2 linked regions of the Oryzias latipes genome follow. The protein of the gene in region 1 interacts with the protein of each later gene in a pairwise test. Links are inferred from orthologs where the notes say so. Each region holds a gene or a part of one and is shown on either strand. Other genes may lie near its edges. The genes, in order: zinc finger protein Dzip1 and ppp2r5a.

The links.
Region 2: the proteins of zinc finger protein Dzip1 (region 1) and ppp2r5a interact in binary tests that used the Homo sapiens proteins (3 or more experiments, as listed by UniProt). The link is inferred for Oryzias latipes from reciprocal best matches to the Homo sapiens genes DZIP1 and PPP2R5A.

Annotation. Positions count from the first base shown.
Region 1 is NC_019860.2:16,456,829-16,460,648, forward strand, and holds part of zinc finger protein Dzip1, read left to right. Parts: intron 1-1,743; coding exon 1,744-1,889; intron 1,890-1,956; coding exon 1,957-2,155; intron 2,156-2,279; coding exon 2,280-2,418; intron 2,419-3,160; coding exon 3,161-3,486; intron 3,487-3,552; coding exon 3,553-3,671; intron 3,672-3,808; coding exon 3,809-3,820. UniProt on the Homo sapiens protein: Molecular adapter that recruits protein complexes required for cilium assembly and function to the cilium basal body.
Region 2 is NC_019882.2:6,277,003-6,280,922, forward strand, and holds the start of ppp2r5a (serine/threonine-protein phosphatase 2A 56 kDa regulatory subunit alpha isoform), read right to left. Parts: upstream 2,334-3,920; 5' UTR 1,532-2,333; coding exon 1,384-1,531; intron 1-1,383. UniProt on the Homo sapiens protein: The B regulatory subunit might modulate substrate selectivity and catalytic activity, and might also direct the localization of the catalytic enzyme to a particular subcellular compartment.

The sequences.
Region 1 (3,820 bases):
CATTGCTTATGTGTTCAAAGAGCGTGTTTCATTTTCACTGTCGCCGGTGACAGCTCAGGTGTTAAAGGGTTGAACTGAGCAAAGATGAGCCTAAAAGAACCAAAACATGTTCACATCTGCCAGTGAATGAGCCACATGGAGAAAAGGGACACTTATTTGAGCTCCTATGAATCATACAAAAAGACACAATTGAAGAAAAAACTCAAGTTTTATGTTTATGTAAATATAAAGAAGTGGAACAAACACAGAATCCTTTGCCAAATACGAAATTCAAGATCCTAAAGTCATTAAATGACAGATTAATGACTTTAGTTCTGATTTTATAAACATCCGAGAAGTTCCCTCAACTTCCCCATTGAAGCTCATCTGTAAATAAATAATTGGAAGTAAGGTGCAGTTCACTAAACAACCACTGGAGGTCCCAATAAAAAATGTCCAAGAATGAGGAATAAAAATGCCAGCAGAGTTTTCTTAGTTTTTTTTTTTTTTTTAATTGACTTCATAATTTACGCTGATTTCATTTTACCAGCATAAAGTTTTTATCAGCGCAAAACTGCTTTTCCTTACTTTGCTGGAATTGCGGTTGACGAGTTAAGGTAGTCAAAAGAGCGTAAATACTAGAGTTAAAGCTCCGGTGTCAAAAGGGTCAACAAGAACCGCATCGGATCAGAAACGGAGTCCTTCAGACAGGAAAGGTTTCAGTTCTCTTAAACCTCTGAATGATCTGTTTGAATCTTGCAGTTTTTCTCCATTACTTTGTCTCATCTCTGCACACAGAAATGACATCCTCAAAGCTTCCTGTGCTTTTGCCAAAACAGTCTGTAGGGTTCAGCAAAACATCTCTCCCAAAACAGTTCATCTGTGCACCGAAGCTAAGTTTTGTACCGTCCCTTTAGCGTTCTGTTGGTCCCGCAGATCACAAAGTTTTGACATTTTTCACCGTAAAACCGCCGACCCCTCATGTCGGGCTGACGGGATATAAAAGGGAATCAAGCTGAAAAGGAAACACGTAATGAACTCACACTGGCAAGGAAATCGCCGCTGTGCCGGATTTTTTTATTTGTGTCTTTTACTGTAAAGTAAAAGTCTCAGAGCAAGAAGATATACAGTCAAATAAGCTGAACAGGAACTGTATAAATGCACAGATTGAAAGTATCCCTGGGCGTCTTTTCCCGCCGACGTCACACAGAATAACATCCCTTGCGATGCGGCGAGGGGGAAAATCCACAAGGATGCTGTGATGGCGAATGGCGTATATTTATATAGCGCTTTTCTACCTACAAGGCCCGAAGCGCTTTACAGTCACACACACATTCACACACTGGTGGCGGCTTCGCTGCCGAACACTGGCGCCAACTTCCCACCAGAGGCAAGGTGGGGTTCAGTGTCTTGCCCAAGGACACATTGACTCATGGGCATGCAAGCAAGGCTGGAATCGAACCTGCAATTGTACGATCATGGGTTGACCGCCCTACAGCTGCACCACGGCCGCCCCTGATCTGTACACCTTTTTTTTTTTTTTTTTTTCAAGAAATGAGCCAAAGTGATGGGAAAAAAAAAACGGCCTGAAGAGAATCTGGATTCATGAAGCTCCATCCTTCATTTATTTATTTTCTTTGGTGACAGAAGAACAAAGCTCTGGCTGTTGTTTGTTTGTTGTGGCTTGTCTGTGGGAGCACGCTCGCCGTTCTTCTCCCTCGTGTTTGTGTCCGTGCTCATTGACCTTGTCTGACCCGTCTCCAGCGGACTCCAGCCTCTCCGAGCCTGAACCCGCAGCGGAGAGGAAACCCAAAGCAGCGCTGAAAGTGGGCGCCAGCGTCAAGAGAGACACGCGCCTCGAGCTGGAGCGGAGCGTGGCCAAGAAGCTGGAGAGCCTGGGGGTGAAGGCTGTAAGTCTGACAGAGAAAAAGACCTGCTCGGCAGCAGAATCCCGTTTTCATTCCCGCTGTGTTCCAGAAGCTGAGCAGCCTGAAGAGCAAGGAGCTCACGTCTGTCATGTCCAAAGTGCGCGCGAAGCGGGAGATGACTGCAAAGAAGATGCCTGAGTATTGGCGCCACCATGAGGAGATCCTCAGAATTGTGGAGAAGAAGCTGGGCGTTAGGAGTGGAGGCAGAGATTTGACCGCAAAGACCAGATCCAAACAGCCTGTTCAAGGTACCAGAGTCTTCAGGACCAGCGGAGAACTACTTTCAGTGATCTGAGGTCTCTGTAGCATCTCAAGCACCTCCGCTTTCGGAGCCGTTTCCTCTCATTTTTGAGGCTTTTCTCTCATTTCCAGTGGTGAAGATCCGGCCCAGATCCAGCAGCCTGCCCTCCACAGCCAGACAGCCCCGAACTCCCCAACCAGCACCCAGAACCAGAACCAGCACCCAGCCTAAGACGTCCACACCCAACCCCAAGGCTCCACGCGTCATCAAGTGCGTTCTGGCTTCGTCTGAACATCCTTTTCTTCTCCAAAATGCTCCTTTCTGCAGCGATGGGAGCTTTAGAGATGTTTTTGGAAGAAAGCAAAAACTATTTTTTATCGCATCCATTAGGACAGTTATTTCATCCTAAATATATCAATAATAGCAATAGTTTGTTAAATATTCAGGCCTCCTGCGAAATTATTTAAATTAAAAACATTTTTTATTTTTATTTTACCAGATGCCGAACACTCAAATTCTAAACAAAGCTGCTTTTTAAATCCTTCAATGGATTTACAGAAAAACTGAGTTAATGTTGCTGCAATAAAAACCAACCCCACGGCGCCATGGCAGCTGAATAACGTGACGTTGGCATTATAAAGATCATGTTCATGTTCGTTTTTTCTGGAACAGATTCGCCCTAATTGCCCAAAATCTATTTTTAAAACACTTTTCTATATTATTATAAAGATTGTAAAACAGCAACACCACTAAGATTCTTCTGGAACTTATCACAGATTATCAGACTATAAAGAAACTCATTTGGCCCTAACTGCCTGAAATGTATTTCTACTTGACTATATTTGTAAAGAGCGATTTTTGGATGTTTTACTGAACACATGACAGATGTCTTAGTACTTGTTTCTAATAAAACTACTAAATTACCGTCATTAAGCTTTCAAAACCTTCATGATGGTTGCTTCAGGACGTGAGTTCTTCTTCTTCATATTTCTCTCCTCATCTTCTTTTTCAGGAGCCATCCCTTCAGTTCGGATGAGTCCGAGGAGGAAGACATGGAGGAAGAGGACGCTTCCAAACCCCCGACCAGCAGATCTCATCCGCCCACCAGAGCGGGCAGATTTGCTCCGGTCCTGACCCGGCAGGAAGAGGTGGGGCTTTTTTCCAAACCCCGACCTCGGCAGGCCCGGCCAGCCGCCGACGCCGTCACCAGGGCCGACATCGAAGACACGGAGAGCGAGGAAGAGGAGGAGGATCTGACGGAGGTCAGCGAGGTGCAGGAGATCACACTAGGAACGCTGCAGGGCTACAGGGACCAGAGCAGCAAGAGAAACCAGAAGGGTGAGCATCAGACAGGGGGGGGTGGGTTCGGTGAGACGCGTGGCTGAAAGTCATTCTACGTTTTAGAGACGTCGATCAATGAGATGGCCAGAAAGATCGAGAAGTTTGCAGAGAGGGTTGTGAAGAAACCAGCAGGGGGCGTGAGCGTCCTGCCTACGAGAAAGGACGAGGTCGAGGAGATCTCAGTGAGTGTTTTCTCTCTTTTTTTTTTTTTTTTTTTTTTAATGGACTTCTCACTGATTGGTTTCAGCAAACGAACATTTGTAAGAAGGTTTTGCTGCAGAGAGTCAGAAATCTGACGGTTAAACATCTGTGGCTGCAGCTCACCGACCTG
Region 2 (3,920 bases), on another chromosome or scaffold:
CCATTTGACTGCATAAAGTAGCTTCAGAGACTTGACTGGACAAGTTCTTCTCCTGAGCTTCGCTCTTCCTCATAAAAGACAGTTATTAAACTGTTGCAGCTTGTCAGAACTGAAAACATTTTTCTAAATTACAGTTCACCCGAAGAGATTATTTCATTTGCAGTGTAACACTACTTTAAAAGTTCATAAAAGCTGTATTTTGTTAAAAATCAAATGAAATAAAAGTGCACATTCTAGATGTGAAAGTAAGGTGACTTCAGATTAGTTTTGACCTCAGGCTTCAGGAATCCAACTACTAGAATGCTCTTCAGGTGTGGGATTTGAACACATTCCCACGAGGTTGCGAAAGAGATAAAAACGGAAATATGGATTGGCTGACAAATGTATCCTGGCAGGTATGCATTTGAGCAACTTAGAATTTATCGTGTCAGTTAGAGAACATTTAGCTGAACACGATGTAAAAACCGTCACACCAACAAATCGCGTGTAGCTCTTAAAATTGTTAGTAAAACCTGTGAAATACCATCCAAGATGTCAATACTGTTTGCTGTGAGGGAGAGTGAATATCAAAAACTCCACACGCGCTGAAATAATAAAGAAAAGATGTGCCACATTTAATGAGCAAGGCCTCCACCCTGCATGTCTGTCCTTACCTACAACACACAACTGTGCATCAACTAAAAACAGACAGCAAAGTTTCATCCTGGCCACCCTTATTATCTCACACAGTGTCACATTTCATTTGACGAAGTCTCTGCTGCACAGGACCGAGTCTCTGCTGGCAGGCAGCCACTCACTTAAGGCCACACATGTCTCTTTAGGACAAATGAGGCGTAAAATGAACAGGTCAAAAACAAGCCAGCGTGCAGAGGGCGACTCCGTCTGATGCACTCTCGTCTATGAGTCACGTGAAAGTGTTGGCTTCTCTTGGATTTGGGTCGGGCAAACCGAATGGATGGGCCGTGGTATCTTAACGTGGATATCCATGGCAGAACACCTTTTGTTTAGCGAAAAAGCCAATCCAGAAATGGAGATTTGATTTATCAAAAGTCTAAAGCTACAACTTGTACTGACTTATGGTGAGTCTGGGATGAAAAAGAAAAAAAGTGACATCAACTCACAGTTAAAGTATTTTCAAGGTGCTTTCAAAAATGAGGGAGAATAATTACTAAACAGGTAAAATAAATAAATGAAAACACACAACAGACAGGTAACATTTTGCTACCCAACAATCCTGCTGCCCAACATCCAGCCAGTTATATGTGCTGGGTATTATCTGCCATTCTGACTATAGGTTGCATTCCAGATCTGAACATCCTGCCGTATGACAGTGGTCAGCACAGACTATTTAAAGCGGTAGGCCCCTTCATCCTCTTACCGTACCTTTGAGCTGCGGCAGCGGGGAAAGCTCCACTGGAGCGCTTTGAGTGCGGTACTGCGAGGAACCCTGGGATTTTCTCTGTCTCTGCGCCTTCCGCACGGACTTCCTCGTGAAGCCGTCCACTTTCTCGGATGCTGAGATGGTCGACATTGTAATGTTTAAAAAAAAAAAAATCTGATGGAGATTTCTGGCGAGCTATTTATCAGATGACACGAGCCCGTCGCTCTTTTCCTTCCCCGAGTCTTGTTGTTATTGTGTATGATCCATCATGCTCACTCGGCTTCGACGAACTGCATCTCATGCAAAACGAATATTTAACGCAAAATGATAAACAGAGACCCGCACTAGCCTCATAAATACAGCTAAATCCAAGTTCCTGAATACCCCGCCTTTCTTAAAGCTTAACAGCATGTGCACAAATGTCTATTTACTGTGAAAAGCAAGGATGACATAGTCTTAAAAAAGTTGCTCAAATGCGAACTTCGGCTGCAGCAAAACAGTTAAGAAGCTACACTGACAGCTAACGCACCTAGCTAACCTGCTAAATTTAGCCGACGTTATGTGCCGAATGAAAATCTCTAACGCTGTCGAGGAAATAAAGTTACAAATATACCCGATAAATGCGGATCTCACGGCGCGTCGTTAAAATACGAACTTCGCGAATTAAAATACTGTACAATTAACCCAACTTTGACTTCCGCTGAGCATATTTTCCAAACTCTCTTAGAGATCGATGAAGTTCAATTTCGCTCGACGCATTCATTCAGTCCTTGAAGGTTCGCCTCGTCTGCACGAGCATGGCTTTGCCGTCTTCGCTATTCAGAGCACGTCAAAATCCCCCTAGATGTGTCTAAAAATGACCAAGAAACAACTTCGTTACGGGGAAAGAAGGCAGCCATAAACACTCCCAGTCGTTCCGTCGCTGTCTGTCTGTGCGCTGGCCTGAGGGGCGATGACAGGTGTACGTCACTGTTTGACGTCTCAGGCAGCCAATGGGAAGAGGGGACTCATAAAGTGGAAACTTTTTTAGCCAATCAGAGCGCGAGAAAAACGGGACTTAGAAAATGCAACATGCAAAAACAACTGGATGACGTTGAATGAGGCCTGAAAGGCGGCTGTAATGTCAGACACATTTTTCTGTATATTATGAAAAATTTAAAGTTCTATTTAATTTTTGCTTGACTAAATGTTCCCTTAAGAAAAGTCAAAATAGAATATTGTTTGCCTTATTCCGTGTTATAGACTGAAATTAAGAAATGTTCAAACTGTATTTTAGTACTTTTTTTATTAGCCAGAAAATTTTTAGTTTACTCAAATAATTTTTTGTTTTCCGTATTAGACTTTAAATTAAAGCTACTCTTCTCTATTTGTTAAAGATAGGTGGGAAAAGCATTTCTTTGACAATGCAAGAACAGGCAGAAAAATGGAGTTTAATTCCATATTCTAGAACACGTGTTGTTAATATTTGCAGGTCTTATGTCTGTATGCAGACAAAATGTTGTCAACAAACCATCAGTTGGATGCAACGTTGTGTGCACCCTTTTTGTAATACATGCTCTGACTAGCTCGGTATTATGTTATTTTTCTTTATTCACTTGGACAGTTTGATCCTTTATTAATAGACTTATGTGGGTTCTAATAAGCGGACAAAATTTAAAAGGATTTATGCTAGAGTAACAAGCAAACATATGTTTTCTATGCAGCTGCAATTGTCACTTTAAAGGTTATAATAAATACATAATGAGCTATTTAACATTAAGGAGTAGTTACTTTTTTTTCATTGCATTTAGTTACATGTATAAGTTATATCTGGCCATTTGAGAACAGCCACTATGCTGATTTGGTTCGCGGTGAAAATGAGTTTGACACTCCTGTTCTAGCCAATTGCACTTTCATTTCAGGTTAAAAAAAAATCTAATCTTTGACATTAATTTTAGCCCACATGCTTTTTTTAAACTAATATAAAAATACCTGACATTATAAGTGGCATTATAAAGGTTGTGGCATTTTTGTAACCCATCTTTCACCCCCACTGATAACCAAATTACAACCAAATAACAAGCTAAAAGTATCAACACCCTTTAAAATTCAAGGCAATTTGACCAAAGCATTTAAATACAGATAAACCAAAGAAAACTTTTACAAATGAACGATATTACATTAAAAGAAAATGTTGAAACCATGCAGTTAAAAAAATACTGACATGAATGGTTTGCTTGAATCTGTTTAGCTAACATTTTGATAGAAAATAACATTTTTGCAGAATTTAGCACATAAATATACAAATCCTGCAGATGAGCCCATCAACTGTGTTCTCTTGGATTCAGTGCTGAAGCATCTCTTAAGGCGTTTGTTTAGAATAAAATGGCAGATATAGAAATGTTTTATATAGAAATTCTAGACAGCAACAGAGAATACAAAATGGCAAAATAAGACAAAAAAAACAAAACAAAACTGTTCTTTGGATCTTAGATCGTTTATGCACCCCATGTTAACGATTTACTTTCTGTCTAACCACATAAAAATACCTTGAAGCTAA